Lonchura striata: one gene and its partner. The protein of the gene in region 2 purifies or fractionates together with the protein of the main gene of each other region. This does not show direct contact. Links are inferred from orthologs where the notes say so. Each region holds a gene or a part of one and is shown on either strand. Other genes may lie near its edges.

Region 1 (3,744 bases), on a different chromosome or scaffold from region 2:
AATCCAAAACTCAGAGCCTGACAAAACCAGCAGGCAACAGTTGTATAAAAACTACACAATCTGAGGCAAATAACTTTTGGAAGCACTGGGTTGGAAGTGAACCTATATAACTTAGTAAAACAGAGAGGCAGAAAGTTCTGACTTCAGCAAACTATTTTACCACTGCAGTTAAATTAGAAATCACTGAATCCTAGAGCCTGCTCACTCACCTGTACTGCTGCTCCATCCCAAACAGTTTTCCAGCAGCACAGTGGTGACAGAATCTTTCACGTAAGATTTTTTGCACCTAGGGATGTAACACAGCGCAGGAAAAATGTCTGGGGCTCCAAACACCAGAATTTACCAATCATGTAACTCCAGCAATAAAATAACAGCAAATTAGGTGCTTTTGTGGTGTTAGAAAATATTCTATAATACATACATTTTTACTGTTACCAAGGATAGAATGGTCTTGAAAGTAAGAATAAAGTTGCAGGAGGCAGAGTATTGTATAAATATTATATAAGGGAGAAAAAGCAATTAGAAGATATTAAAACATATAGGAAATCACTGATCCAGGGGTAATTCCTTGCAAGATGCATTACAGTTTTTAACCAGCAACTTTGAGAAAACAGGAGAATAAAGGTTAAAAAAACCAAAACAAATTAAAAACTGATTTGGCAGCTGCTGTTCTGTTGCTAAAAATGTCACCTGGGTTCTGACTCACCCTACAAACTGGAAGATAAGAAAACCTAAATGGTCAAAAATAGATTTAGGCAAATCTGTTGCCACAAAGAGTTGCAGAAGTACAAGAACATCCTTTAAGTTTTTTACTGCATTATAACAGTAACACTTGAAGCAATCAACAGGTGGGAAGCTGAAACACAGGGACAAAAGCTATTTAGTGCCCTAACAATTGTATCTGCCAGGCTTTATAACTGGCCTAGGAAAAAAGATAAATTATATCAATGGCACAGGGTGGAAAAGGTCCAGAATGTGAAAAGAAAGTAATGAATAAAGGTGTTACTGACCTGGGAAATGTTCTCAGCACTTTCTGCACTGCTCTCCTTCAACTTTCGCTTGTTTGTTGCAGAATGTTTCATCTTTGGAGAAGAGAAAATAAGCATTTCATTAATTAAGCATTTCCAAACAATCCCAGTCCGAAACTGTACTTAGATGTCGATCATTTTTAAGTACTGTAATGAACATCTGTTCTTAACTAATAAAGATGCAACAGTCCATCTCCCTAGTGAAAAACAGCTGAAAAACACTGAAATAATTTTAAATTTATTCCTGATAAACCTATGTTGACACACATCTCCTAAACAGCACTGGCTTTAGGATGCTTTAGGCAGTTTAAAATAATGTCCTTATGTTTCTGCAGCTGGAACAAGCTACAAGCACACGGGAACACATCAAGACAAACAGTTAAGTTTTTACAGGAATAACTGGTCATCCTTGTTTATAACATTAACCACAGCATCTCTCTGGACAAGCTGGCTCTGAAGGGGTCCTAAGGGGATTGGGGGGGTCTCTAAAGAGATTTGGGTAGATTCAGAGGGGGTCAGGGGGGAAAACTTTAGGGATTGGGGGTCCTTGAGGGGGATCATGATGGGATTGAGAAGTTTGAGAGGGTTCTGAGGGGGATTCAAGAGGGCCTGAGGGAGGCTCTAAGGGGGATTTGGAGAGGAATTACAGGTCTTGAGGGGGACTTAGAAGTGGTCCTGGGAAGGGTTTAGGGGTGGTCCTGAGGGATTTGGAGTGAGGAATTTATGGGGGCTAGGAGGGTCTGGGAATGCTCTGGAAAGGAATGGGGATGGGGGCGAGAGTGTCCATGAGGGAGCTGGGGAAGGGCTGTGGGAATGGGGAAGGTGGGAGGTCTGATTTTTCGGGGCTGGGAGAGTCCGTGACGACCCTGATGAGGGAATGGAGATACCTCAAAGAGCTTGGGAGGGTCCATGAGAGGCTGTGGGGGCGCTGAGGGCGGGTTTTGGGAGGACCCTGAGGAAATGGGGGGAGGCCCTACAGGGCTTGGAGGGTCCTGGGGTGCTGTCCTGGGGTGCTGTCCTGGCCTCACCTGTCCTCCCCTCACGGCGTGTCCCGCCTCTCCTCCATCACCCGAGGGCGGCCACCACCGCTCGCACGCTCCCCTCAGCCCTCACCGGGCAGCCAAGACCTCCCCCCGCCCCAGCAGCCATTCATCCCCCTCAGAAACCGCTCCCGCAGCTCCCTCCTCACAGGCTGTAACCGCGGCTCCCTCAGAGACGCCGGAGCCCGAGCGGATGAAGGGCGGGCGGTGGGGCGCATCCTCCGCTGCTCGGGCACGTCCCGCCCGGCTGAGGCGGAGGCTGAGGCGGTGGCTGAGTTTGAGGCGGAGGCCGGCTCTCCCTCACCTGCCCGCGCTGCCCTCACGGCGCTTTCCCGCCTCTCCCCCCCCCCCCCCCACCTGAGGGCGGGGCCCGCCGCGCACGCGCGCTCCCACCGGCCCGCGCGCGCGCCGCCCCCCTGACGTCACCGCGCGCTGCCCGCTGCCCTCCCTTTCCCTTTCCCCCTTCCCCTCCCCTCCGCTCCGCTCCCGTCACTTCCTCCCCGTCCATTTCCATCCCCCCTCATCCACTTCCTTCCTCCCCATCCCGGATCCGTTTCCGGGAGCGGCGCGCGCGGCGCTGTGGGAAGTCGTCGTCCCCCCCCCCCTCACCCCCCACCCCCCCGTTTCCCCCCCCCTTTCCTCCCCGCGGCCTCCCGAGCTCCCCCGGGGCGCATGCGCGGTGGCGGCCGCCGCTGCTGCCTGCCCTCCTCTTCCTCCTCCTCCTCCTCCTTCTCCTCCTCCTCCTCCTCCTCCTCCTTCCCGACAGCGGCGGCGGCGATGAGGAGGAGCGCGGGGGGGGGCGGCGGCGGGACGGCCGGTTGTTCGCGCCGCTGAAGGGACGCGAAGCAAGCAGCGCCGCGCCGAGGCGGGGGCGGGGGGCCCCGAGTCGCTGCCCCCGCCGCAGCCCCGCCGGGGAGTTTCTTCCACATCCCCCCTCAAACACACACCGAGACCGCCCCCCCACCCCCGTCCCTTGGGGGCGGCCCCGCGGAGCGCCGCTCCCTCCTCCTCCTCCCCCTTTATTACCCTTTGTGTGCGTCTCCGCCTTCCTCCCCGCGCCCGGGGGCCCTGAGGTGAGTGCGGGGGGAGCGGCGGGGCGGGGGGGGCTGTTTGTTTACCCCGCGGTTACCCCCCGTTTGCCCCGGGGGGCACCGCCTGTCACCCGGGGCCCCTTCCCGGCGCCCCCCGCCCCAGCTTTGTTGTCGGGGGATGCTCCGGGGATGCTCCTTGGGCCCCTCCGGAGCGGCACGGGAAGGGGGGTGATGGTGGCGGGGGCGCCGGGCAAAGTTCGGGGTGGCGCGGTGGGTGCTGAGCCCCGGCCGAGTCCCGAAAGTCTTGTTTTCCTGGGATAACACCCAGCCCCGGCGTTGCCCCCCCCCAGGTTCCAGGCCGTTGTTTGACTTATTGTTTGAGTTATTAAACCCCTGCGGTGGTGAAGGTACAAAGACCACTTGTACAAAGACCCTTTCCCGAGCTCAACTTCCAGGGATAGGCAGTCCAGGAGCTGGACTTGGTGTTTGCAGGGTTGGGATGTGGTTTGGTAGCAGCCCCTGGTTATCGGTGGTGCCCGGCTATATTTGGTCAATGGTTTGTTGGGATATAGATGTCGGGATGTGTTTTTCCATGGCTTTCTGCTGGGAAGGCCAAGCGTCTCCATCCCCGCTCACGGTGTTGGT
Region 2 (3,744 bases):
GGTTGAAATGAACATGGCAGAGGCTATTATTAGATTGGGCACAGGCTTCCAGCACACTAATCCAATCCATCTCCAAAACAACAGGGATACATCCCGGGGCTGTTGGAGTGACAGACCTGCTGCAGGTGAAAGCTGTCCATGAGTGATGGCACTCAGGACCAGGACAGCATCACAGGTACCTGTTTGTGCCTCTCCCGGGCTCTGCTCCAGGAATTCCAACACTCTTTCAAACAAAAAGAGTCAATACACCTGCTGTGAATGTTTTTTTCCCAAGAAAGTGACACCGAGCTCACTGGCCTGAACAGACTCTTGCCTGATGACTTCTGAATTCCCAAAAATTTTGGAAAACTGAATTAACCAGCAGAAATTCAAAGACACACCTATCAAGGACAAAAAAAATTAACAGTTCTCTGTCTTGTTGGTGATTAACTGATGTTTCAGTAGACACACACACACATGGAGGGATATGCTGATATTTGGAATAACAGCGCTGACAGGGCCAAAAGAGCTGCACAAATGACTGGACCAGGCCCGCCCACTCCTCCTGACACAGATTCCAAGAGAGGGGAATAAAAGAGAACAGAGCTCCAAGGCCAGGCTCACTCCTGTCATTCTGTGTTAGATCAGTGCTGCCTAAATGCCACTCCAGCACATCGTGAGGGGCACACAGGGCACTGAGCTGTCCTTGGCTTTGGTTTCAGCAGCACCACACACCTCCAGCACCTGCAACATTGTGTGATGAGCAACGGGGAACTACAATATTGTATACACTGAAATACTGTATACAAGCACAGAGAGCTGAACTGAAAACCAGATTAAACAGCAGCTGTTTGGGATTTGATCCTTCAAACAACAGAGTTCTCCCTGAGAGTCAAACCACGGGGTCAGGCTTGTTCAACCAAACCTCCCTCAGATCCTGTGTCTACAATAGAATTGTGATACCAGTGACTGGACATTGCCATCACCCTCTCTTTGGCACACTGAGCCCCCAGAGCCGGCTGTGCCAGGGCAGCAGTGACACCCAGAGCCGGCTGTGCCGGGGCAGCAGTGACACCCAGAGCCGGCTGTGCCGGGGCAGCACAGTGACACCCAGAGCCGGCTGTGCCAGGGCAGCACAGTGACACCCAGAGCCGGCTGTGCCAGCAGAGCCGGCTGTGCCAGGGTAGCACAGTGACACCCAGAGCCGGCTGTGCCAGGGCAGCACAGGGACGCCCAGAGCCGGCTGTGCCAGGGCAGCACAGTGACACCCAGAGCCGGCTGTGCCAGCAGAGCCGGCTGTGCCAGGGTAGCACAGTGACACCCAGAGCCGGCTGTGCCAGGGCAGCACAGGGACGCCCAGAGCCGGCTGTGCCAGGGTAGCACAGTGACACCCAGAGCCGGCTGTGCCAGGACAGCAGTGACACCCAGAGCCGGTTGTGCCAGGGCAGCACAGGGACAGCCAGAGCCGGCTGTGCCGGGGTAGCACAGTGACACCCAGAGCCGGCTGTGCCTGGGCAGCACAGTGACACCCAGAGCCGGCTGTGCCAGGACAGCAGTGACACCCAGAGCCGGCTGTGCCGGGGCAGGGGCCGCAGGGAAGGCCGCACACGGCGTGTCCCATCCCGCACACCGCGGTGATGCTGCGGAGGGCCGTTCGGGTACCGCGGGGCTACTGAACGCCGGGGTTATTCCCCGGGATCAGGCCGCTCCTGCCCCACCGCAGCTCTGGGGATGGAGCCCCGCAGCCGGGCATCCCCCTGGCCGGACCGTGCCCGCCTGGAGCTGCCCCGCACCGCCCGGGACGCCATGCCGCCATGGTGACAAGGCCACGGATGCCGGGGCTGTCCGCACACGCCGCGGCGGCCTCCGGGCCGCGGGATATTACCGGCTGCGGGCGCAGGCCGCGGCTCCGCCCGTGGGCAGGGCCGGCCCGGTCCGGGCGGGGCAGGCGCGGTCCCGGCCCGTCACCGCCGCCTCCGGACTCCGAGCACCGCGAGGGGCCGGCGCCGGCCGCGGCCTGAGGCGCCCTCGCGGGGCGTGCGCCGCGCCTACAACTCCCAGCGTCCCCCGCGGCGCCGAACAGCAGCGCGGAGCCCTGCCGCGACGCGGGGGCTGCTGGGAGCGCGAGTCCGCCCGCACCCCCCTCTTCCACCCCCGCTGCCCGGCCGCGCGGCCTGCGCCCAGCCCCGCTGCCCTCACCTGGAGCGGCCGGGGAGGAGGAAGAGGAGCCGGGGAGGAAGGAAGGGCGGGAGGAGCAGCGGGACGGGGCGGCCGCGTCCTCGGGATGCAGGCGGCGGGCGGAGCGGCGGGCTGCGGCTGCAAGGGGATCCGCTCCTGCCTGCTCTGCGAGGGGCCCGCGGCGGCCGCTCCGCCCCCGCAGGTACCGGGGAGGGGGCGGGCGGCGGGGCGGGGCGGCGGGCGGAGGAACCGGGGCGGCGGGGCGGGACCCCCGTGCCCGGAGCGGGGCCGGGACGCCGGGGTCGCACGGCAGGGACGAGGCGGAGCCCCGCCGGTACCGTGAATTGTTGGCCTCAATAAGGCGCGGAAGCCCAGCGGGAGCTCACCTGAGCCTCGCGTGTTACGTTCGCGTTCATTTGTTACGGCTCAGCCTTGCGGCCCGCGCGATTTTCGTCAACTTCCCTCATTCGGCATTTATCGCTACGACAAACCGTATCTCTGCAGCAATGCCCACCATTAATCTCCTTATACCTGTGGCCCTGAGCATCATCGGTTCTTCCCTGCCTTTCCAGGATAAAGACATCACTAGGGGAAAAAAAGTGGCTTCAAGCAAGCAGCACGTTGATGCTGCAGCTGGAAAAAAAGAAAAAAAAAAAAGAGCAGGGAATAGCTGTTTCCCCAAAACCATCTGTAAAATTTATCTTTCCTGCAAGAATACCGTACAGTTTTCATGCTGCAGTAGCAAGGTTGCAGGGGTAAATAATGGAAATATCTTATTGCTTTCTTTGTTCTTTTCCGTTGAAATTTCCACAGGGAGAAGATAATTTCACTTACTGTCCAGCAACAGGCCTAGCTAAAGGAAATGAGCACTCGGAATTTGCTGGCTGGGCATTTCCCTTTCCAGGGGTGTTCCTGGTGGAGGAGTTCATTAGTGAAGATGAAGAGTGTGAGATAGTGGAACTGATGGATCGAGATGACTGGAAACCATCACAGTCTGGCCGAAAGAAACAGGTTGGACTTTGAAAGCACAACACATCTTAGATACCTCTGGAAAAGTAAAGCTGTTTTCAGTTAAAAGCCAAAATATTGAGATGCTTCATTAAGTGTTTTCCTTTGAAAGCTTTTCCTGAATCAATGTCAAGAATTACCTGTAATTAAAATCAACTTCTTGCAAAAACTCATGATAGTTATAACATAACAGAATTTGATGGTGTGTGTTCAAGCATTAAAGTTCACACAATCTCCAAGGGAAAGAGGTGGGTGTTCAGATTTAGTTTTACTTTATAAATCCAGAGAGATTAATGTAGATTCACTAAGTCCTTTTGCAACCTGGCAACCAGGTCACTGGAAAGAGATGAGAACAGAACTCTGCAGGAACAGCCTCTCCAAAAAGACTTGGCCTAGATTTTTCCTTTACACTAGCTTTTCCCTCCCTCTTCTTTTCCAACAGGACTATGGGCCCAAAGTGAACTTCAAGAAACAAAGGCTGAAAGCTGGCAGCTTTACCGGCTTGCCGAGTTTCAGCAGGAAGATTGTGGCACAGATGAAGGCCTGTGCTCTGCTCAGTGGTTTCTTACCTGTGGAACA

The links. Proteins that work in one complex are often made in the same cells at the same time.
Region 1: the proteins of LRWD1 (region 2) and ORC4 purify together in Homo sapiens (affinity purification with mass spectrometry; 3 studies listed by BioGRID and IntAct, with this or other methods). This does not show direct contact. The link is inferred for Lonchura striata from reciprocal best matches to the Homo sapiens genes LRWD1 and ORC4.

The regions. Positions count from the first base shown.
Region 1 is NC_134610.1:2,483,216-2,486,959, reverse strand, and holds the start of ORC4 (origin recognition complex subunit 4), read right to left. Parts: upstream 2,407-3,744; 5' UTR 2,287-2,406; coding exon 2,218-2,286; intron 2,173-2,217; exon of another isoform or gene 2,057-2,172; intron 1,083-2,056; coding exon 1,011-1,082; intron 287-1,010; coding exon 210-286; intron 1-209. UniProt on the Homo sapiens protein: Component of the origin recognition complex (ORC) that binds origins of replication. DNA-binding is ATP-dependent. The specific DNA sequences that define origins of replication have not been identified yet.
Region 2 is NC_134622.1:5,607,287-5,611,030, reverse strand, and holds the start of LRWD1 (leucine-rich repeat and WD repeat-containing protein 1), read right to left. Parts: upstream 2,264-3,744; 5' UTR 2,179-2,263; intron 1-2,178. Other genes in the region: ALKBH4 (alpha-ketoglutarate-dependent dioxygenase alkB homolog 4), read left to right, coding at 2,264-2,359, 2,971-3,168, 3,608-3,744. UniProt on the Homo sapiens protein: Required for G1/S transition. Recruits and stabilizes the origin recognition complex (ORC) onto chromatin during G1 to establish pre-replication complex (preRC) and to heterochromatic sites in post-replicated cells.